Oreochromis niloticus: one gene and its partners. The protein of the gene in region 1 purifies or fractionates together with the protein of each later gene. This does not show direct contact. Links are inferred from orthologs where the notes say so. Each region holds a gene or a part of one and is shown on either strand. Other genes may lie near its edges.

What was found. Proteins that work in one complex are often made in the same cells at the same time.
Region 2: the proteins of serine/threonine-protein phosphatase PP1-gamma catalytic subunit (region 1) and ccdc85cb purify together in Homo sapiens (affinity purification with mass spectrometry; 5 studies listed by BioGRID and IntAct, counting the BioPlex papers as one, with this or other methods). This does not show direct contact. The link is inferred for Oreochromis niloticus from reciprocal best matches to the Homo sapiens genes PPP1CC and CCDC85C.
Region 3: the proteins of serine/threonine-protein phosphatase PP1-gamma catalytic subunit (region 1) and peak1 purify together in Homo sapiens (affinity purification with mass spectrometry; 6 studies listed by BioGRID and IntAct, counting the BioPlex papers as one, with this or other methods). This does not show direct contact. The link is inferred for Oreochromis niloticus from reciprocal best matches to the Homo sapiens genes PPP1CC and PEAK1.

What each region holds. Positions count from the first base shown.
Region 1 is NC_031977.2:6,410,502-6,418,847, reverse strand, and holds the start of serine/threonine-protein phosphatase PP1-gamma catalytic subunit, read right to left. Parts: upstream 3,203-8,346; 5' UTR 2,831-3,202; coding exon 2,776-2,830; intron 2,363-2,775; coding exon 2,231-2,362; intron 2,094-2,230; coding exon 1,863-2,093; intron 1,690-1,862; coding exon 1,585-1,689; intron 1,345-1,584; coding exon 1,121-1,344; intron 1-1,120. Other genes in the region: myl2b (myosin, light chain 2b, regulatory, cardiac, slow), read right to left, coding at 4,911-5,015, 5,116-5,164, 5,242-5,320, 5,403-5,507, 6,777-6,852, 6,940-7,029. UniProt on the Homo sapiens protein: Protein phosphatase that associates with over 200 regulatory proteins to form highly specific holoenzymes which dephosphorylate hundreds of biological targets.
Region 2 is NC_031980.2:2,937,492-2,945,613, forward strand, and holds the start of ccdc85cb (coiled-coil domain-containing protein 85C-B), read left to right. Parts: upstream 1-4,980; 5' UTR 4,981-5,710; coding exon 5,711-6,425; intron 6,426-8,122. Other genes in the region: cholesterol 24-hydroxylase, read left to right, coding at 82-192, 289-451, 579-644, 1,203-1,275, 1,569-1,653, 1,738-1,848, 3,487-3,575, 3,703-3,769 and 1 more. UniProt on the Homo sapiens protein: May play a role in cell-cell adhesion and epithelium development through its interaction with proteins of the beta-catenin family. May play an important role in cortical development, especially in the maintenance of radial glia.
Region 3 is NC_031972.2:45,118,422-45,126,188, forward strand, and holds the start of peak1 (inactive tyrosine-protein kinase PEAK1), read left to right. Parts: upstream 1-4,625; 5' UTR 4,626-4,831; intron 4,832-6,528; 5' UTR 6,529-6,728; exon of another isoform or gene 6,729-6,843; intron 6,844-7,767. UniProt on the Homo sapiens protein: Probable catalytically inactive kinase. Scaffolding protein that regulates the cytoskeleton to control cell spreading and migration by modulating focal adhesion dynamics. Acts as a scaffold for mediating EGFR signaling.

The DNA.
Region 1 (8,346 bases):
ACCCATCAAAGAGAAACCGATCAAAAACTCTGGCAATAAAACATGTACCTGCAGAACCGGAGTTACCAACAGTAACTACTTTATTCTGAGCTTGCCGTTCCTCTCTTGACAAGGTAGGCTGCTCACTTGTGGTAGATAACAATGCAATCAGTCGATGAGTAGCTTATACTGAATGTTGATAACAGCTTTTGGCCAAAGGCTAACGGAGCAGACTGATTCAATTTTATGTTTGTGGAGCAAATGAAGGGTGTGCTGCATCTGTCTGCGCTTGTCTGGTAGGAGAGGCTCATGACAAAGCGCAGAGAGCTGCACTATGTACCGCGGAAACACCAGCCTATCAGTTTTGCAGCACACAGACAAATCTGATTAGACACTATACACTTCACAATTCATCTTGATACTTCTATCAGCAGCTACATCATCTAGCACACTAGTGGCCCAGGTTTACTGGTCACTATTAAAGTCTAACCTGGCCTCTGGTCAGGAGTTTCAAGTAAAACTTGTGTATTTACGTTCACAATCACTTGTCTTAATTGCAGACTTGACATGCCTCAACAGTGTTTTTCCTTATTAGGCGTCTTCTGTGGACTTAACAGTCGTTGGTGTTACTGATTAATAAATATAATAGTGCATTATTTCTGACTTTTCTGTTACCGTCAGAAGAAACCACTTACTGACCATACTCTATATTTACATTAATTAGCTACACTCTATTCTACTACTACAAGCTACTGTCTATTCTGACAAATGTCTTTCCCACAAAATTACACAAGACTGCACTGAAAGCTGAGCTCTCTTATCTTTGCACTGGCATTAAATGGCAGCATTAAAGTAATTCGTGACTATTCTAACATCAATTTCTCTCCATATTCTTTAAGTCTCTAGATATTTTTTTAAAGTAAAGCTTTAGTTGAACTTGTAACAACCTCTGGAAATACACAAATAATTTTACTTTGATGCAAACGCAAGCCAAAAAGGTCAAAACCCACTGTCCACAACACGCACCATGTGTGCTAGTATATTATCTCCCTGTACCAAGTGTTTCTTGCCTCTGGCCAGTACACGGCCACCTCCCACCTCCCACAGTGACGTTTCTGTTTGTGATGACGGAGGTGAGTACCTGATGGGCACGACAGATCAGGTCCAGGTCATGCTTGTGCAGGAACTTGGCTACCACCTCTGAGCCAAAGGTAAATGACACACCTCTGTCGTTCTCCCCCCAGCCCAACACATCCTTGTCTGGATCAGACCAGAGTAAATCACACAGCAGGCCCTGGTCAGGCACGTCAGTGGGACGCATGATGCGTCTGATCTGCTCCATGGACTGAAGGTCAGGGGACAGTCCTAAATGGAACAGTAAAGTAAAAGTACAAATAAACACACTGATACTGAGGTCAGCACCGATTGGAACTGGGTGAGCTTCATGTCAGGTAACAAATTGCAAAGACAGCGTTTCTCAAGGACAAATAAGAAACGCTGATATCAAATGTACACAACTTCTGACATCATGCATACAACCAAAAGACTGTAGAGTAGATAGTAGAGTTTTGTGCCAAAACATTCATTCTGCGCATTATAACCCACCGCCATGGCAGCAAAAGATCTTCTCATCAACAATGGCGGCAATCGGGAGGCAGTTAAAACAATCTGTGAAGGTCTTCCAGAGTTTGATGTTGTACCTTCTTTTACCTAACACAGTAAGACAAGAAATTATATTTAATTTTTTCCCATTATCTCATACCAACAACCTCCTTCAAACAGTTTAGCCGGCAAAAGAAAACGCAACAGAGAATCTGACAGGTACCCTTAATGGACACAAGAGACCCCAGGCTGGACATTTCTAGTCATTCAACAATACTCACACTCATCATAAAAACCATATATTCTGTTGATTGAAGCACACTCATGGTTTCCCCTCAGCAGGAAGAAGTTTTCTGGGTATTTGATTTTGTAGGCCAGTAGAAGACAGATGGTCTCCAGTGACTGCTTCCCCCTGTCCACGTAGTCCCCCAGAAACAGGTAGTTGCTCTCAGGAGGGAAGCCCCCATACTCAAACAGCCTCAGCAGGTCATAGTATTGCCCATGGATGTCACCTGCAAGGCAAAGATACCAAGCTGAATTATACACATTGCTCTTTTGAGTCATAAACCACTTATCATACGTCAGTACATACTATCAGCCAATTGCTGAGTCAATCTTTTCTGGTAAGTAAGTGCACAGCTTTTCTTACCACAAATCTTGAGGGGGGCCTCCAGCTCCAGGAGAATGGGTTGACTGAGGAAGATCTCCCTGGACTTGAGGCATAATCCACGAATCTCGTTCTCCTGCAGCTGAACATTCTTGCCAGGTTTTGCTCCTCTGACTGGAACAAGAAGACAAAAATCAATAAAAGTCAGTAAGAATAACACCTAAACACTATTCCAGCTAACCCGGGCACGGTATCTCTGCCCGGACGCCAAGTGGGACAAACGGTGAGTGTAGAAGCCATATGCCGTGACGGAATTCGCGGTGTTTGTGTATGAGAACACAGTGTACGTGACATGTCGTTTCACACCCTTCAGACACACCAATATTCTGACTCAAGAGACGCATTATATAAACCTGGTAGCCAACATTAATTAAAATAATAAGTTATCTTGCAAATATTTCTGATTATTGTTACTAATTATTGCCACAAGATGAACACCAGCTAAAGCTAGCTATCTACTATTAGCATTTACCATAACATTTAAATAATAAAACAAGTGTTTCGTGGAAATTTTAGTATTTACTTACCTTCTAAAAGCCGCTGGATGATACTATCTATGTTGAGCTTGTCAACATCAGCCATTGCAAGCGTTGGTGTTACGAAAAAATCGCTCCAGTAGATCTAGGTCTTCGCGTTGACACACTTGTGAAAGCTAGCCCGCTAGCTATCCTAGCATTAGCTTGCTAATGTTAGCTTCGTCTATTTTCCGGCTGAGGGTAAAAGATGTTGCCGTGACCCTGATACTGTTTAGCCGCTCGCCGACACTTTTGACAGGCTAATACGCTACTTAAAGATCGCGATTTTAAAAATGCCAACATCAATTGTTTCGTTTTGTTAAAAAAAGGGACGGGGACTATAAAAAAATAAGCGTCAACCAACACAAGCGGTTGCTAGCGACGGTGTCCCGTTTCTGTTTTTCCTTTGCCGCACCTTGTACTGCTAAAGCCAGCGGCTTGTGCTGGTAGCTGCTACACTACTGCCCCCTACTGTGCTGGATGGGGACAGCTTAAGACTTTATGAAGTCCTTTAAATTTTTTTCTTTGGATATTTGTTGATTTTTCACTCATTTTCAGTCCAGTCCTTGTACCTGACCATTTTCAGAGGGATATTTTTTTTTATTTGCGTGTTTTGTAAGCTACTTAACCCACAAAAGGGACCTAACTCAAGAAATGAATCAGTGTTGTTTCTACACATAACACACGACTTAGCGCAGAACCAATTTTAAACTGTACGTTGAGCCACTTTGTTATAGCCACCTGACACAGTACCTGAACGTCATGTCGTTTGGACAACATGACAGTGATACCAAACACACTGCCTAAAAGTATATCTGGATGGAAAAACACACACTATGGTTTGGCCTCCTCAGTCACCAGCCAAGTCCTCAACATTATCGAAGCAGTGTGGGATCATCTCAACAGAAAACAGAATAACAGGCAGCCAACATCCAAAGAAGAGCTTTGATTGTCCTTCAAAAAGCCTGCAGAACTATTCCTGAAGACTGCTTAAAGAAATGGCAAGAAAACGTCCCTAAAAACGTTCAGCCTGTTGTGAAGAATAAAAGTATTCATATCAAATATTGACTTTGAAGTTCATTAGAAATTTCTAAACTTTTGGCTTATATAGTCTATTTCCATGTATGCTTGATCTTGTTTCAATAAATTGCTCCACTTATTTTCCATTTTCCTAGCAAAGTATAATGAAATTAGGTTTTTTCACCATACCGGATATTAATTTTACAGGTTCCTGTTCTGTGTTATCTGAAGAGGAAAGAATTCAGTATGATGAACACTTTTGCTTCAATTTGAAAATCAGTTAACCAATAAAAACCTTAGAGACGCACCAATTTCTAGACAATCAAGAAATTGATTTACATGTAAAATAAAGATAAAGGGTATACAGTAAGTGTAATTACAGATTAGCTTCACCATTAACAGAAAGTGAGCTATGGTGGAGTAGCCACCTATTCTTCCATGGAAAAGTGGATGCAGACTGTTTAGAGTTTAACTTTAACATATATTTATTTAAAAGTTTTAGCTGTGATTGATAAAGTACAAGTATAGTCTCTAAATAGACACTGCATCTTTCAGATTAGCTGAGGTTAGTGAAAACCTGGGTGCAGTTGTTGTTTAATGAGTAGAAATTACTCCCTTTGGAAAATAAACCTTTAAACAGAGCCTTTTAAAGGACACACTGTCTACCTAGCAATCCTTTCCCTTATATTTATACACTTAAAGTACTCTTTAAGGCAAAATTGAACAAATGGGTCTTGGAGCTTCTGGGTTCCAGTGTTCTTCTACTGATCAACTGTGAGCACTGAAATAAAATGACTATATACAGATAATTAAATATCAATACTTATGGAAGATGAAATACACTGAGATTCAGCTTCTCCAATGCATCTCTCTGAGGTTGAATCTTTCTTTATTGATTTGTCAAAAACATCTGACGTCAAATACACTTTTAATTTCACCTTTGAAGAGATTACTAATTTATATTCAAATAATATACATACATATACATGTTATAATCATGAATGAATGAATAATGAACACATTGATCCATGTGCACATTCAAAAACTGAAGCTGAAGTTAGTTACATTTTTGCTGTCATATGTGATCATATCTCAGCACAAGTACGACCCGGTGAGGGAGGACGTGATTATTCCTGGTCTTTCTCTTCACCGTGTGTGATGACATAGACGAGGTTCTTGTAGTCCAGGTTCCCTGCCACATCTGGAGGGAACGCCTGAAACATCTGCTCCATCTTTGGGTACGAAGTAAAAAGAATGGTTACAGAGCGTATCTGCATTTATAAAAACTCAAGGCTCCACAATCTGTTACATCGTCGGAGGTGGAGCACTAACCTCTTCAGCAGAGAATCTGTCAGCCTGGGTCGTCAGCATCTCTGTCACACTGTGAAGACGAGCAGTGATGATCAGCAAACGAGATGCAAATATCACGAGTCGCTTAAGAACCAGACTATTACTCACAACTCTTTCTTTAGTGTTCCTTTTCCCTCAGGGTCAAAGACTTTAAAAGCATTAAGGATAGTCTCCTCTGGGTCAGCACCTATAGATGAAAAGTGGCAGTTCTGCATTGAAGAAAAACAATTTCACTTTTTTTCAACGTCATATAACGGCAACTCGTTTACCTTTTAGTTTCTCTCCAAACATGGTGAGAAAGACAGTGAAATTAATGGGCCCTGGTGCCTCCTTCAGCATGTCATCAATCTCTTCTTGTTTGACATTTAAACGGCCTGAAAAACATGGAATATATGGTGAAACGGGGGTTGCAATTAATGCTCATTTTTTAAACTGATATTTTATTGATGGAAAATAGTCCAATAAAGAGATTAAAACAAATCCACAAAAGCTCAATGGAACTATTAGATGGGTTGACTATACCATCCAGCCCAAAATGACCAAAGAAGGAATTAGAAGAGGATGCAATTGCTGGAAATTTGGAATAACAACAGTTTTCCAGCTTTGTATTAAAAAAAAAGAAATCTATAGAGATTTTTTCAAGGCACATTCTACGCTTGGTCCTTTAAATATAATCTAAAACCGCTGGAACATTTAAACAAATGTAGAACATGAAGTCAGCAAGCTTGATGGACAGTATTCAATATAATACACAAAATTTTCCAAAAAAATTAAACAAAATTGAATCCCAGGTCGATAAAGACTAGAACAGATTTGTTGCAGTAAGTTAAGGTTCTTCTTATACAAAATAAAAACTAAATGAACAATAATAAAGAAAAATGAGGTGTGGCTTTTGATAAAACTCTTTGAATGACTATCTAATCAATGTATTGGCGTAGAAATGGAAAATGGAATAGATCACACCACAAATGTTCGGAATAACTAGCTCAGGCAATAGCTATCATTATATCCAGAGGACATAATGTTGTTTATTGCAAAATGACTCAGTTGCAGGTTTAATACATTTAGTAGAAACAGTTGGAGATATTTCCGGGTATGCAGTAAATATGTTGGCAGTAAACCCTAGGAAGGAAAACATATGTATTAAAATAAAAACACCGGGAAAGGTTTTGAAACTCTTTTTGAAATATGTGGAAGATCTGGATCTGACCAGGAGTCAGTCAGTATCTGTTTGTTGTGAACCATGTGTTATTTAAAAAGATAAAAATATCCTTTTAATGTAAATTGGATCATGTTTGTTTGCTGTGCTTTTCTTGTTTAGTCTGTTTTGTATTCTTTTTAATAGGTTTGCTTGTTTATGTATAATATTAATAAGTCTTAGGTTGGGGGAAAAAAGTCCGCTAATGATTAATCTGATGACTGCTACAGCTCAGTTTGTCAGTTATCTGTTTCTTCAGACATTATTTTAAAAATGGTAATTATACATCCCAGAACTCAAGGTGAGTTCTACTAGCTGAGACAATGAAATTCGTGCATGTGAGAAGCTGGAACCTGAGAATTCCTAAGGTTTGTTTTTTGCTGGACTTGTGTAATGTAATCATGTGAAACCATCACAACAGAAACGTGACACACAGTGAGTTTACCTAAAGCTGCAAAGGTGTCCCTCAGGTCATTCTTGTCAATGAAGCCATCTCTGTTTTGGTCCATGATAGTGAACGCCTGCAGGAGTATACACAGCGAGCAGACATCGCAGTGAGTAAACCGCTCAAATTCAATGTGAAAGAAAGCATTTGGCAGAGTACCGACTTCTTTGAACTCCTGGATCTGGGCCTGTTCAAACATGGAGAACACATTGGAGCTGGCTCCCTCCGCTCTCTTCTTTGCTTTCTTGGGTGCCTGTGGGGGGTTTAACGATGACACTCTTAATTAGATCCAATAGTAATGACACACGATCGTCACCTGGCTCTTCCGTATGGCTTTACTCGTTATCGGTTTTACTGTCACACGTGGTAATGAGCCAACGATCAGCTCACTCTCACTAAGTGCGTGTGTGTGTGTGTGTGTGGTGGTGGTGGTGGGGGGGGTGCATCCATTGCACAAGAGGAAAGGTTTGTACTGGGGGGCACACATTTCATTAGTGAGGATTACAAACACTGTCAGTTTGTTATGGAAATATTTATTCGAGCCTCCAGTTTTGGGAGCACACAGGGTAAGCCTAGGGAGGGTGTGGTCCACTGCCTGCACTCTCATAGTCCCAGGATCACATGAGGGATTATTCTATAGGGTCTATGTGATGACAGGAGGGTACACTGAGCCCTGTTTGATCAGAAATCCCTCAGAGGGAAGGATTATGTTGAGCTATTTACATGACTGCCAAGAAACTGTGAAAAACACTGTAAGGGGGATGCAGCGCAGTGACATCATGTTGCTCGGATTCAGGGTCCTCTCGACAGCTGCTGTCTAACCCTTGTTGTGGATTAGCTCTTGTATATCTCATGGAAGGGACCTCTGGCATTCGGATACATTTATTTAATTATTTATTTTGTTTTAAGAGGATTCATGTACTCGTGGGCAATGAGGCAGAATTTGCCATTTCTTGCTGTTGCCCAATGCACATCACTGTTGGACCAGCGGAAACTTTATTGGGCCAAATATTACACGAATAACCACTGACCTCTTCATAGCCTGCACCTGTTGCTCATGTTTCTCTGCTGTCTGCTCCGCACTCCCTTTGTTTTGCTCTTTCCAACCCGGTTGGCTGCTCTTCTAAGTCTCTTCTCTGTTTTTTGCTGCCTTTCTCTCACCTCTCTCCTCTTCATCCCTCCCATTTCCTCTCCTTAAATATTGTGTGTGTTTTAAATGTCATTGTTCTGTTTTATTGTAAACACGGAGGAAAAAGTCGCAAGTAAAATATATTTTTTTTAAGGTTAAGGCTTTCCTTACCGTCTCCTCCTTCTCAAGTCGAGTAGACAAATATCTCATCAATAGGACAACGGGAGCATTGTCCGATTGATTATTTAAAGAAAAAAAAACATCTCCCAACATACTGACATGGAGTACATTGGTGCATTATCTGTTGTTTGAAAAGAGCAGACTTTGATGGACTGTTATACAGATATCTACAGTAAACACATTAATCACACAGCAGAAACAGAGTGTCTCCTCACAGTCTGGCGCTTATTTTAAACAATGTTAAAGACAATAACAATGAGA
Region 2 (8,122 bases), on another chromosome or scaffold:
TTATATTACAGTTATAAAGGCTACAATCATCTTCTACGTGTAAGTGAATGACTGTGCATGTCTTATGTTGATAAATTTCAGGTTGCCTTTGGGGTGGACTTGGACCTCTTGAAGAATAGTTCACCTTTCCCTAAAGCCATTGAGACATGTCTGAAAGGCATGGTTCCCTACCTTAGTGACATATTTTTTGAGGTATTACTTCAGTGTTTGTTATTATGTATGTTAATATGTCTGCCAAGAACATTGTTGTCAGAATGCCATGCTAAACCCTTCAGTCTGCCATTCCAGTACAATCCAAAGAACAGAGGATACGTCAATGAGGTGAGGGAAGCGTGCCGCCTGCTCCGTACAACTGGAGCCAAGTGGATCGGTGAGAGAAAGACCGCCATGCAAAACGGTGACGAGGTCCCCAAAGACATCCTGACACAAATCATCAAAACTGCAAGCCAAGGTTGTAGTTCCTAAATTTCACATTTGGTTAGATAAGAGCAATATTTTAGTCTCTTTGTGATGAGACAAAGTAAATAAAACAAAAATGTTAAATATCAATGTATATGTCCATTCTCTTCTCATTTCAGAGGAAAACATGACTGAAGAAGATGAAGAATTCATGCTGGACAATTTTGTGACATTCTTCATTGCAGGTGAGTCTCTGTTGTTTCAGCTTCGATGTGTGAAATGCAGCTGGAAGCTTCTTTGTAGCGTGAGACCAAGCTCACTGTGCTGAAGAGTCCGTTTGATTTTCAGTTTTACACAATATGGTCACTGGTGTCTGTGTGAATTTGTATCCTGCTGCTGTGTGCTGCAGTTTAATGTTAATGGTAGAGCATACTGATATATGCTTATCCAGAGAGGCTGCATAATATCTCCACACACACTGTGTCACACAACTCTAGTTCCTGTGTCACTGACTGTTTGTCTCAAATGTAAAAAAAAATACATTTTTATTACTCTTTTCAAACTTTGTTTGTGACCAGGACGATAACATTTGTAAATGAATAAAATAGCAACAAAGTAAAAGAAACATATGATCTATTTTTGTTACATAATGATGTTATTGATTTTAACTTAACTGGGCTTTTTAAGACTCAAAGACTTGTGATGTAGAAATTAGGAATACAACCTCTTGAGTGAGAGTTGCATGGCTGTTTCCTTTTGAAGTAATATTCTGATGCATTATTGACAAACTGGTAACATTTTAGGCCAAGAAACAACAGCCAATCAACTGGCTTTTTGCATCATGGCGCTTGGAAGACATCCTGAAATACTGGAGAAGTAAGAAGTCAAACAGAACATTTTCTATATTTTTGCATGAATATAACCTGAAACATCATCTGATTGAACCTACAAGGTCCTACAAGTAAAGAGGACTTAAACAAAAGTCTGTGAGATCTTCAGAAATCTTCTTGCCGTGACACAGTTGTTGTACAGTCAGCCTGATCCCAGTTCTTACAATCAGTGTGTCCCTCAGATCTGATTGTCAACCCGTTGTGTGAAAGTAACTTCTTCTAATTTGATCCATCCAAATATCAAACATCATGTTTCTAAATTGTATTTTTATTTCTTAGAGCAAAGAAAGAGGTCGATGACGTCATTGGGATGAAACGTGACATAAGCTATGATGACTTAGGAGAGCTGGTCTACCTGTCACAGGTACACGTGGTACACTTATTTGTTTATTTATTTATTTTAATAACTCACCCAAAGTGTGCACCGCTCATTGTAATCTTCCTTCAGGTGCTAAAAGAGACTCTGAGAATTTACCCCCCAGCTCCGGGCACGTCTCGTGATGTTGCTGAAGACATGGTGATTGATGGTATCCACATACCCGGGGGATTTAGTGTTATTGTGAGCCATTTTCTTTTTAATATGTTTGTAGCTCTAAATGATAACTACATACTGAAGACAACAAATATATGAAGCAAGATATATGGAGTTATGTAGCAAAGAAAATAAAAAAAACTCTAAATATGTTTTATAGATTCCTGAAAGTAGCCACCCTTAACTTTGTTGACAGCGCTGTAAACTCTTGGCCTTCTCTCAGTGAGCTTCATGATGTAGTCAGCTGAAGTGGTTTTCACTTCACAGGTGTGCCTTGTCAGGGTTCATTTGTGGGATTTCTTGCCGCCTTAATAGAGTTGGGATAATCAGTTGTGTTGTGCAGAAGTCAGGTCGGAACACAGCTGACAGCCCTATGCTGATTGGTTCTCGCCGTAATGTGAATTCTAAGTAAAGAAAAAATGACAGTCCTTCATTATTTTAAGAACTGAAGGTCAGTCTGGAAAATTGCTAAAACTTTGTGACTACACTTGTGGACACATTCAAAGATCAGCAAGTGCTACAACAAGACTGACTCACATGAGGACCGCACCAGGAAAGGAAGACCAAGGGTCGCCTCTGCTGCTGAGGATAAACTCATCCGAGTCACTAGCCTCAGAATCAGCACGTTAACAGCACCTCAGATTAGAGCCATACAGAGTTCCAGTAGCAGACACATCTCTACATCAACTGTTCAGAGGAGACTGTGTGAATCAGGCCTTTATGGTCAAATAGCTGCTAAGAAACCACGACTAAGGAAAAGCAACAAGCATAAGATTTGTTTGGACCACGAAACAGAAGTTATGGACATTAGACCAGTGGAAATCTGTGCTTTGGTCTGATCAGTCCAAATTTGAGATCTTTGGTTCCACCTGCTGTGTCTTTGTGTGACGCAGAAAATGCAACTGGATGGTCTCTACATGCGTGCTTCCCACCATGAAGCATGGAGGAGGTGTGATGGTGTGGGAGGCTTTGCAGGTGACATTGTTGGGGATTTATTCTAAATTGAAGGCACACTGAACCAGCATGGCTACCACAGCATCCTGCAGTGACATGCCATCCCATCCAGTTTGTGTTCAGTTGGACCATCATTTATTTTTCAACAGGAAAATGACCCCAAACACACCTCCAGGCTATTTAAGGACTATTTGACCAAGAAGGAGAGTGATGGAGTGCTGCACCAGATGTCACCTGACCAATCGAGATGGTTTGGGATGAGATGGACTGCAGAGTGAAGGCAAGAGGGTCAACAAGTGCTCAGCATCTCTGGGAACTCCTTCAAGACTGTTGGAAAAACATTTCAGGCGATGACCTCATGAAGCTCATCGAGAGAATGCCAGGAGTGCAGAGGGTGGCTATTTGGAAGAATCTAAAATATAAAACATGTTTTGAGTTATTTCACTTTTTTTTTTTTGTTTACTACATAATGCCATATGTGTTGATTCACAGTTTTGATGTGTTCAGTGAGAATCTACAATGTAAATAGTCATGAAAAAAAAGAAAAAACATAATAAAGAAAATAAGAAGTGTCCAAACCTTTAACTGGTAGTATACATATAAACAAAATTGTCACAAAGTTGTCAGAAAAACATAACATATGAGGTCTTATTTAAGCAAGTACAAATACATTTATGATTAAAATGTGAAATTAACTATTTTCATATTCAGTTCAGCTCCTATGTGAGCGGGAGACTGGAGAGATTCTTCAAGGATCCACTGAGATTTGATCCCGACAGATTTCACCCAGATGCTCCCAAGTAAGGAACACACTGTTTCACCATGCTGACTTTATTACGTTTCAGCTTTGCACACACTTTATTATCTCAGACTAAATGAGTGAAATGGATCACAGTAACTGAGGCGGTCTCTTATCTGTTCAACTAGGCCTTATTACTGCTACTACCCCTTTGCCCTCGGTCCTCGCTCGTGTCTGGGACAGAACTTTGCTCAGGTGAGGATGACAGTATAAGTCAACATGAAGACCCGCTCACCTATAAACACACTGACTCATCTCTGTGGGTTCTTTTGCTTTTTTAAAGATGGAGGCTAAAGTGGTGATGGCCAAACTGCTCCAGAGGTTTGACTTCACTCTTGTCCCGGGACAGACCTTTGACATCCTGGATGCTGGCACGCTCAGACCAAAGAGTGGAGTGTTGTGCACTTTGAATCACAGGGATTACAAAAATAAATGATCTTAAAGTACTTTACATAAAAAGAAATCATAGTGGTCTATAGGGTAAAACTGTGTTGATCTTTACTCCTGCCTAAAAGCTGTGATTAAAAAAATAAATTGTTATAATAAAAACAGTATCAGATATGAATTACATGGTAAAGCCATATGAAATGATGGTGATAATTATTTTTCACAATATAGAGCATATTGGAAATTTTTTGAGGCGGACAGCTAGGTTTAATACCATTTGCACTTGTTTGCTTAATCTTGCACAGACTCATATAACGGTGTGTCGTGACTTTTTTTTTCATAACCACAGACCCCTTTGTGCCTACAACACTAATATGTAAGTGCTAAATATTAACGTTTTATGTAATTGGAAATCATTTGGAAACAATTGTTTTATATTTTTGTGCTATGCAGTGATTGTGTACCCGATTTGCCGTGTTAATGCATTTACGGACAGTGTCCACATGGGGGCGCTGAGATCTTGCAGAGACTTCTGGCTTTTAAAAAGCTGTTTAAATTCAATGTTCAGAAAAAGAACTCTCTCAGAAGTTGTCTCTCGTTTAAACACAGATGGTAATATTTTTTTAATACTTAATTAAATACGCATGTAGCTAAAACCTACTGTCATTTTATAGGTTGAAATATTTTTGTTTTTTAACTAAATAAATATTTTGGGGGCTTATTTCAATAAAACAGCCCAACTTTTCAATGCTCAAGTATTGTCAAAGAAATCACGGCCATTAAAAGTACACAATACATCTGTGCTTCATTTAATAATAAAGAATAAAAGTCATGAGGCGTAGTCTGATTTTTCTTCTCCTTCTTTAATGAATCCAGTGTGTTTTTACGACGAGCATATCCTCCTGTACCTTTAAGAAGGCCGAGCCTGAGCCCTGTGAGGCTGCACCGCACTTTTTCATCTACCTGCTGCCTACTTCTCTCGCACGTCTTGATTGGTCGTCTCGAGCTGAATCGTCTTGAATGATTTCAAACCCGAGTGTTTGGACAAGAGGGAGGAGAAGGAGAGAGGCGGGGGTCCACTGATAATTCCGAGCCTGCTGGCTGCCTGGCTGGGTGGAAAGGACTGAGTCGTCCACTATCGCGCCGCCTCACTGAAGACGCTTTTATCCGAGGAGACGGTGAAACACGTCCAAGAGGGCTTTTCTTATAGGTTGCCCGTTTTACTCGAACATTCGCTGTTTTGCGCGAAATTAGGTTGAATTCATCTAAACATAAAGGAAGAAGCAGTCTGGTGGATTTCACGTTTTACATCATGTGAATGTTGTGATGTCCAGCAGAGACTGTGCACACTGTTACGGGTCGCTGTGTTTTTGCCGACAGGACTCGGTGATCGGAAATCCCTGATAATCGATTTTATATCGCTTGTTTGTTTCTGACCGACTGTGACCACCAACTGTTGTTCCTGTGAGTATTTTTTATTTATTTCTTACCAGATCAGTGGTGGCATTTCTTTAAAAGCTGTGGTTGTGGAAGCATCACAATCATATTTGTGTTGTTTGTTTTTTCAGTTTTATTATCGGCCTGTTGAAGATCAGGGCATTATCGATACTTTTCAGATTTTTTCCCCCCTTTTTGGACAATGTATTCGTGTTTTAACACGATTCCACAATTGAGGTTAGGTTAGTGAGTTTCTGAGAGTTAATTTTAAGCAGCTGCATAAACGAACTGAGACTCGTAGCCGCGACAGTCATGGCTAAAAATCCGTCCGAGGGGCCGAAGGATGACCTGAGCCAGCTGACGGACGATGAGCTGCTGCGGTGCAGCAAAGAGGAGCTGGTTAGGAAATTAAGGAGGGTTGACGGTGAGAAAATGAACTTGATGATCGAGCATGGCAACATGATGAAGGACATTAACCGGCGGCTGCAGGTGCACCTTCATGAAATCCGGAACCTAAAGGAGATCAACCAGAAGCTCCAGGATGACAACCACGAGCTCCGGGAGCTCTGTTGCTTCCTGGACGACGACCGACAGAAGGGCAAGAAGCTGTCCCGGGAGTGGCAGCGTTTCGGCCGCTACACAGCCAGCGCCATGTGGAAGGAGGTGGGCACCTACATGATGAAGCTCAAGGAGCTGGAGGCCAACCAGGAGACTGTGCTGAGGGAGAACTCTGAACTGAAGGAGATCATCCTCATGCTGGATGAAGAGAGGAATGGGGCAGGGTCCCGGAGCTCCATAGATAGTCAGTCCAGCTTGACCAACCTGAACGGGGGCACCAGCACGGTCAGGGATGTTGGAGATGGGAGTAGCACGTCCAGCACAGGAAGTGCCGGTAGCCCCGATCACCACAATCACAACCACATGCACAAGCCCTCGGAGAACGGTAAGATGGGGCCCACGATGAGAAGATCCATGGATGACCTGTCAGCGCCACATCATCACAGAAGCATCCCCAATGGACTCAATGGTGAGTACATGCACTTGTAAACACACCTGGTTGCCTTAGTCATCATGCATGGCCCACATCATGGGGTTTCTGTAGGGAAGTAAAGCAGGTCGTCGACTAATCGGAATCTAAAAGTTCCTAAATAAATACTTTGGTCCCATTCTTTCTTTAAACAATGGGGAATTGGCCCTTACACCTGTATTCCTGGGCTCTGCTGCTAATAGAGGCACACTGTGTAGTTACTGCGTGTATGTGCTTGCTGTGGCCGCATATGCTGATCAGAACTGTTGGGATGGATTAACACCCATGGGGTCTTGGCTTAACCTCACTGTAAAGTCTTGATTGGGGTGATTATGAAACACACAGCATCTCTTAAGTGGCCTTTTCAGCCCCCACGCCAACCTGTCATTTATGTCTGCACTGATTTAGGTCACTGCACTTGTGCTTCTCAGTGAAGGAGACTTATCTTAATAGCTTTTAAAAGGGGATCAAGCAGATTGATTTTTTTCTCCTTGGGGTCGTTCACTGATTATCTTTGTTGTCTCTGGCTGTGGAAGAGCACTCATATCTGCTTAGGGCCCCCGTTTGAAATGCATGGCTTGGAACCAGAAGTCAATGTCCCTGTTTTTTAAGACCTAAATACATGACTGAAAGCTGCAAGTGGGGATGAAAAAGCCATGATGGAACAGGAGGACACTAAGCCTCGTTTAGGAAGCACACGGGCTCATAACCCACTGTGATCTGTTTTGCGAGAGGAATAAAGTCTGTTTCACGTGTGTGTGTGTGTGTGTGTGTGTGTGTTTGTGGGGGGGGTTGGACTTTATTTTACCCTGATTTACAAGGACAGGGCAACTGCAGCACAATTTAGGCTCAAAGCAAGCAGCTTCAAATCAGATCACACCAGTCACATGTTATCCATTGGACATTCCTGGAATTGTGCACTGAGAAAACTGTGAAGGTAACATAATATAAAAGACTGGTTGCATGCACGAGGGAGCCCTTAATCCGTAAATACACACGCACGTATACTCGCACAACACGCAACATTTTGGTCTCTGCTCGGCTGTTATTATGTAACATCCACATTGTGTCTGCGGCAGCCTAGCGCCTCTCTCAGCCTTTATGTGCGAGTGTGTGTGTGACATTGTGCGCCCCTGAGTCTCAGGCTCTGTGTGTTCATCACTGACAATGATGTACACATTTCTAACAATACGCTGGCATGGGAAAGGGCCGCCTCATTTGAGAGGTTTATTATCTCATTGTTAAAACCTATGCATTTGTAATGAGACTGACGCTGCGTAGTCCCAAACAACCCCGAGAATCGCAAATTATCCTTGTGCTGTAAACAGCGCGAGTCTGGTAAGTAACAGAACAGCTATTGACATTTCCTAAGATGTCAGGAAAAAGCAAGGCTACTCTCATAGGAAGCTGTTATTTACACATGTTAGATTGCTTTACCCAGAAGCATGCCGGTCAAGCAGGTGTTTCATCGCTTCCACCCCGAATAAATAATTCTTAAAACCTTGCTCGAATAGCTGCCTGGCTACCTGTTACATGCCAGAGCGAGGCTGAGGGGAGGGTGAGTAGAACGGGCTTCTTCACCGGCACAGATTTACTCAATTGGCTGGTTGAAATCTGAGTGGAGTGGCCATCTTTGCGAGGTCAGATCTGGACGTGGTGTGAGGTCTGCAGAGTGGCTTTTTATTTAATGCTGTCCA
Region 3 (7,767 bases), on another chromosome or scaffold:
GTTTTTGATTTTAGATTTTAAAATAACAAATGCAGTATTTAGAAAAAAACAATTCTTTTTGTCCTTAAATTATGATTAGTGGACAAGTGGAAAACAGGCAACAAGTCAGAGTTCTGAATTATGTTTTTGTTTACCAGCTGCATAACACCCACTCTGTCAGATGTGAAGACAGTCGCTCTTTAGATGACTGTACATGGTAAAGCAGCTGGTTTTATTACTCTTACTCTTTGACTTTGGCATTGTCTAAAAGCCTAGATTTTAGTAGGTGTACTGTACACATAAATCAAGAAGCTAATCTGCTATAATCTACTTGGCTGGTACCTAAGCCTATTTACTTGCAGCTGATATGTGAAGTCAAAAAGATTTGGATTGCTGAAGTGAACTGAGCAGATCTGCTGTAATTTGCAGAGAGAGAGATACAATTACATTGCAATCTGCAGCACATTCACCGGCAATGGCTCACATCTGTATCGTGTTTGTGAATTTACCCTCTCATAATCATATTAAGCTGCAGGAGAAGGCTGTGCTGTAAATCCTTTTTAGTAAAACACTTCTATATTGCGATTTTTATAGAAATTGAATGCAAGTATTTCTGTTCTCTGATGTGAAGCTGGCCTGGATATGAAGTCTAAAGATAGTACTATATTAGCTTTTGACTTTACATTGTGAGCCCTTCCTGTTTCCTTTCACTGATGCCCGTTTCCTTTTGTGCCAACTGACACTTCCTCTTCATAATGTCTCATGGCAGCACAGCCAACATTTTTCCTAACAGATGTCCTGTTCCCAGAGACAATATGTCATTTCATACAGTGAACTAGTAATGCACAACTGCTGACCACTGCATTGCAAAAGTCCAGCTCCTGGCACCTGTACACGATACAGCACTGGTGAAGACACCTCTGGAAACAGGTCATTGTGAAAGTCGGACATTTTACAGCCCAGAAGCCAATCAAATGCCAGCTTTTGAGGGTATTTACTGTTAAAGACCTTATGTTGTTTATGCACATAAGCAATCTGTACATTAACCTGACTATGACTAGAGCAATGTTAGAATAAACGTGTTCACAGTGACCGTGTTAAGGTACTGATGCTTAGCAGATTCTATTTCCAGATAACATTTGCAAACTGGAAGATAACCTGATCCCAGTTGATTGCAGGTTTCTACAAGTGCTAGAGGAGAATTCAGGATCGCGTATGATAAAACAATGTTTACAAAATTTGAATCCTGAGATTTCCCAGTTGTCAAGTGAAAAGCCTGAGCTGCTGGTGGCGATAGATAAAAAGACTCATGGTCACCAAAGTTAGCGTCTACCTATCCATCCATTTAACAGCATGGTCTTCCTTTATGAGCTCTCCAGTATAGCTTTGGTCTTCTCTTCAGTCCTCTCCTCGCTGAAAAACCCCCAAAGAGATAACTCGGGAAACATCCACATTCCCACCATTCCCACTGGCTTCAGCTTCAACCCTGTTGACCCACGTGTACATTCACGCCTGTTAGCGTCAACAAACATGATCAACTGATTTGCAATGCCAAATACTACGGGTGAGAAATTTGATCTTGCAGAGCTCTGTTACCATTGAGATCTCATATGTTATTAGAGTTGCTTGCCTTTTTTGCTTCGAGGATCACCTTTCACCTTTCATGTACATGGCTTCAGTGTGTGCAGTAGATCACAAAGCTCATTTGTATAATGGGCTTAACTACAGCTTTTTTTCTCCCTTTGATATTAGGCCAAAGCTGTAAAAGCAACAAGGAAAAGGAATACACTGCAGACGGTAGCGGCTCCTGTGATGCCTTGTTATCACATTTTCCCTTGAGGTTCACATGTTGCCCTCTTATTTCCAAGCAGCCAGTCTTCCTTGTGTGATAACCTCTGTTTTAGGACATGACAGAATTGTTGGGACAGATAAGCAGCACTTCGGTCCCTCGTGACGTCTCTTTTTGCCCTCTTCTTGCCACGCCGTCATCACACCCAGTCTTTTGTCTTAACAGAGAAACACCCGGTGGAATACAAAACAATTATATAAAAAAAGTCTTCTTCCTCAGCGGGGCAGTGTCTGCATCGCTGGCCGGTATCCAGTCCGTAGAATGGTTGACATTAGGAGAGAGGAGCAGAGAGCCACTGATCCTGGACCAAAAGAGGGAGGGAGTGACTCAGAGGAGAGAGGATGAGTCAGGCGTCATGTGCTGAACTGGCACTTGACGCTCTCAGTGTCCTGAATGGCTTCTGTTCCCATAATAACATGCACTATTATGGTCAGATTGAGCCTACCTTTTGTCAGTCAGTCAGGCTTGAGCTAAGCTGGCGTTGGCTTAATTACATGAGCTGGTATGCATTTATGGAAATGCTTGTATGCACTGCCTTACTTCTAATACTACTCATTATCTTTAAACGGGCTCAGATGATCAAACCGGTTCAGTAGCATCACTTTTATGTTGGGCTGTTGATTTCCCAGATTGGAGATTAAAGTCTTTTATTATGGTCAGCTGCAGAGCAGCTTCTCTGCAGCTGTGGTCTCGGTCGTCTTGTGCCAAAAAAAGTTGAACCGACGCATTCTGTAAGGTCTGTTTCTGATCTGCTGATGCAGATTCTCATTATGTCTGGAAGTAAGAGGTTTACAGTAACGGGGGATGGATAACACCTCAAATTTCAAAAGAAAAGGTTTTTCTGGAGGGTTTACTTGAATAACACATTGTAACGAGCAAAAGTATGAGACAGAAATGTAGCAAGATAAATGGCGTCTGAGGTTCACAGCGATGATGGATGTTCTCCTGTGTGGTCTGTCAGCTTCTTTTAGTTCCATAATAGGGAAAAAAAGAAAAAAAGTTGCATGTCATTTTTCTTCTGCTTTATTATCAGGGACAGTGCACTTACTTTCAATGAGTCAGTCCAAACTTCACTGCTTTTCTTTTGCCGGCCGACCCTGACTCACATCTCCTTGTCTCTGCCTCACTCTCGCATTGAACCCGGCTCCCACTGTGATGAAATGTTCTTTGCTTACAACATAAAAAGCAGTCCAAAAAATACAGAAGTGTCTTTTTTTTCTTGCATTAAGACACTTCTGAGTCGGGTGCGACTGCGATACCAAAATATTTTTTGTAATTTTACAAGCTCGTATTCTTCAAATTACTCAGACAAGCATGGCACTCATAGAGAAGGCCTGGGGCAACAAAGGATGAAACAATGCCGCTTCATTGTATTTATTTAATTGGAGAAGGAGAAAGTGACTCTGCACATGGCAAAAGAAGAAAATCAGAGTCATCCTTCCGTTTCCTTTTATCCATCATTCATTCATACTCACTCTCCTCCAGCCCTGGAAAGTCCTTGGCCTCAGTGCCCAGGACCTGGGCAGTAAGAAGGAGGAAACAATGTCTGGAATGTGATGAGAAAAAAAAAAAGAAAGACAAAACTTAGTCATTCCCACATGTCAACCTCTGGCTCATTTCCTCCTCCTCCTTTCCCCAAGTATGTTGCCTTCAGGTTCTCCTCCTATTCCCAAGTTCTCTGATAGAATATGTGATCTGTACCATTAAACCAAGGTTGCGGCCACCCAGGATATTATTTATGTGTTATGTTAATTTACCATTTTTCCTCCAAGGTGAAACCGAAGCCACAAATGTTACCCCCTGTCAGTATTGCCTTTCTGTTAGGCACAAACCAAAACCCTTAATCTGTAATCTATCACACCAAAGTTTGATACTCTAACCTAAACACACACACACTTGGTTGCCAAGTGTACAAACTGTTAGAAAAAAATGACACATTTGTCCTTACATGTGTTTTCATATCTGTTGAGTTTTTAACACTCAGTTGGCTGTGGGGGCCTGAAGGCAGCAGGAGGAGGGGATTTCTTTTTTTCCATTGGTCACCATCCCTTAAGAGAAGAATGACGTCAACGAAAGACTCAATAACTGCACTCAACGCGTTTCAATAACTATTACACACAAACAGACACATGCACACACATATACATACACACGCACGCACTCAGGGGCCTTTGAATCCATCTGTTTGCCTCCTCCTTTTAAACTGTCCTTCCAAGACAGATGAGGTTTTGAATAATTAGTTTTTGATTATGAAGTATTGGAAATGAATTTGTGCTTTGAAGTGTAACGTCATCATTTACCGTCACCGATAATGACCGTGTTTGCCATTAACAGAAAGGACATGGCGCTGTACAAATGTCACAACAGCAGGACTACAAATAATAGATGAGAATAGACTCGCAGAGTGCATCGGTGTTTTTTTTTATCGCTTTACTGAAAATAACTCTTTCAGTTCATTTATAGTGAAGTCGCTCAGTATTCAGATAAGCTTTATTTTAAATGCACGCACTCGATATAGAAATGGTAAAAGTGAAGTCAGATTTCCTGAAGACTACATATGTGTATTTCGGTTAAGCTAAACACAAACCGCAAGGGCAAATGAAAGCTTTACACAATCGCTAACACACTACCCTGTGTGCATCTGTACTACCTTGTCACAGCGCACGGATCTGTTTATCTCTTAAGGCCACTTTTCCCACTTCGGCGCCTCTCTTGAAAACTGCGCGTTCACGCGCTTCTCTGGCCAGCCCAGTATCGCGGGCGCTCGCTCCCGCGCCAGGCTGGTGGAAAAAACTGCAGCGGCTGTTGCTGGAGCCACGCAGAGAGGAGCGGTGTGGGAGAAATCACGGGCACTGGCAAGAGTTGAGCGGCACACACTCACACAGTCGCACAACACAGGCAGATTTTGTCGTTATTCCTGCCGAGGGCGACGCTGTCAGAAGCGGGGTTCATGGCTGCCAAGAAGTGATAGTATCGACGAGGAGCTCTTCGCCGTTCAAAAAGGTATGGAAAAGTTAGCTCTGGGTTCATTTTTTCGCCCCCCTTCGCAAAATTGAAAGTGTCTCAGCCACAAGTCTCGCCAGTTTCTTGCGGCTGCCCAAGTTCCAGGTTGTCAGCGAGGGTATGGCGTGTCTTTGAGGAGGAAAAAATCCCCCCAAAACTAGCGGTTCTGTCTTGTAATGTCAGATTTGTGCAGGATAGAGATGTGAGGAGAAGCCAGTGGAGAAGTTTGCTAGCCGTGCTCGGCTTCAGCGAACTGAGAGCTAATCAGTGACTGCGTGCTGACTTTGTAACATAGCTGCTGCTGCTGCTGTCATAAGTTGAGTGAGTGAAGGCTGAAGTGGAGGGCTACAGATCAGTTTGTTTAAGAACAAACGCACAAACAAAAAGATGCCACTCGTGTGTGGTTTAGCGTACACCTGGTGTGGAATTGAGCCCGTCCCAAAAGCACAGCTTGCCCGTGTTTACAAAACGGGATAGGCAGAGCTCAACTTTAAACTGCTGACCAAACAGGGGTCCAGGGACCACCACGGGTCTTTTAGTGGGGAGTGGGAGATGGGATCGTGTGTGTGTGTGCGTGTGTGCGTGTGCAGGCGTGAGAAAGAGAGAGAAGTCACCACCCTGAATGGGGATAACAAACACAGTGGAAAGAGGATGTTTCGCTATTCTCAGCACTGTTACTTTCCTCCCTGCCGAACACTCGTGGGTTTATGTGCAGATTATATGCAACAAAACTAAAAAGAAAAATCAACTTTCTGCATGTTGATTGCATGCATGTAGTGCTCCTATAGATTGTACTGTTTTAATGCATAAACTGCATGTATTTAAAGATCACCTCCTGGTTGCTTGGAGTGAGTGGGTTGCTAGAGTCCTCCTTGCCATACCGATAAACAGGTGTCGGTTCACCAGTTTGTGTGTCATTCTTCCCACTCAAAGATTCAACTGATTGTTAACACTGGGTTTCATGATCACATGATCATCTTACCAAAAAAACAAACAAAACAAAACCCAAAAGAAAGAAAAGAGAACCTGATCCTGCTGTATCCCACTCAACTAGCCATTTAAATCAAACCCCACAGTGGGACCTGTGTTGCATAAAATAGATGCTGTTGTCCTGCATTTCACTGGGACTGATTTTTATATGCATCTGTTTGTTGTGTCACCTTGTTTTTTTCTGTTTTGTTTTTTTAATATGGCCTAATCACAAGGCTGAAATTATAATCTACAGCTTTAAATATAATACAGAATTCACCACTACTGTTGTGAAAACCCTCCTTAAATTGCTACCTAAAAACTGAGATCGAGAACCCTTTTTTTTAAAAGTGATACTTTTGCCTTCCATCTGTCGAGCCAGGTGTGTTATCTGTAGAGTCAACTGTCTGTCCCGCTGTTTTTGAAGATCGTCATGGATTTAGAGGAGGAAAAACAAGAATTGCCAGATTTCTTAAAATACCCTTTACTTTAGTGGAATTAAGTATTAAGTGGTCTGGTGTTTTTTTTTTTTTGTTTTGTTTTTTGTTTTATCACCGATTGTAAAAGTAAAACATTCTTCTGTTTCAGTGTCACGAGTCACTGCCAGCAAAAGTTGACAGAAGCGGACGCTGAGCTCTTGATAAACGACCTCTGCTTTGTGCGTTCATGTGGGATTGAGGTTGTCGGTCCTTGTTTTTACTTGCTCCTTTCTTTTGTTTTGATTACAGTGTCAACAAAGGTGGGCATCTGGGATTGTTACCTCACCCGGTGGAGGCAGACGAGAGGGAGGCCAAGTTGCCGATCTCAGATTTCCCTTCTGATAAGTGCCCTGTGGATGCTTATCCCCCCTCCTGAAGTGTGCGAACACAAAAATTGTTGGATTGTTTGCAGTATCTCAGAGTTGCGAACATACCTGACATTCTTTGTGGTGAGCAACAAGAAGACAGTGTTTTCTCTGGTTGACAGAGCTGCATGAGATTTTGTGATTCGCTGTTTGACTGATGGAGGTGCAGTCTGGCAGTAGGGCTACAGTATATGCTGAGGTGATTGGAGCAAGATATAATAGCATTTTCGTTTTTTTTGCCTTTGACCTTTCTGTTTGCCCATCACAGATTGTCAGGTGTAGTGCTGATCTATGTTACCAAACTGGAAATGATATAAATGGGATCTAAATGACCTTTTACGTTACACTGGGCTCCTTTTTGTAAATGCCTTGGATGATGCGTTGGCTCGGAGACATGTCTCAGAATCTTTTTGTGTTGTGAACTGGAATGAAAGTTGTCTTTGTTTGTTGGTTAGTTCAGTGACCTGGAGTTTTACCTGAACTGGGCGTCGTTCCTATTTGTTTGTCAAATACTGTTTTTTTTTTTCTTTGTTTTTTTAAGTGGATCCTGGTACAGTTTTTTTTCTCAATAAATAAATCACAGCCTGTGGATTTGCAAAAAAAAAAAAGTTGTAGTATGAAAACTTAACAGTGCAAACTTTAGTCAGGTGTAACCAAGAATATGACTCAGAATGGCTGAAGAATCTTCATCAGTAGATTATGTGTTGCATTATTGTTCATTTCACGGGGTCAGTAATATTATCCCTCTAGATAGGAAGTTTACAGTGTTGTCTTTTAAATGTTTTATGAAGTTGAAAACATACAAACATGATTTCGCTCTCCATAAATTGCTGTAGTTTGAGCTAATGAGCTTTGTGTTTAAACATCGTTACTCTGGTACAGAGCAGCGTGACAGTGCTGAACACATTAAAGTAAAATATGTTATGGATTAATCTGAGTCTCATGATGAGGTCGGTATATTGATGAAGCTTTATTGATGTCAGTGCCATTATCCGCTCTGCCTGGTGCCTAATGTTGGATGTTATTCGAAAAAGTCAGTTTATTGCACATTACTTGTTACTTACACAGGTGCTACATTACTCTGGTGTTACGTAGCACGTCCTGAGATACACTGCTGCATAAT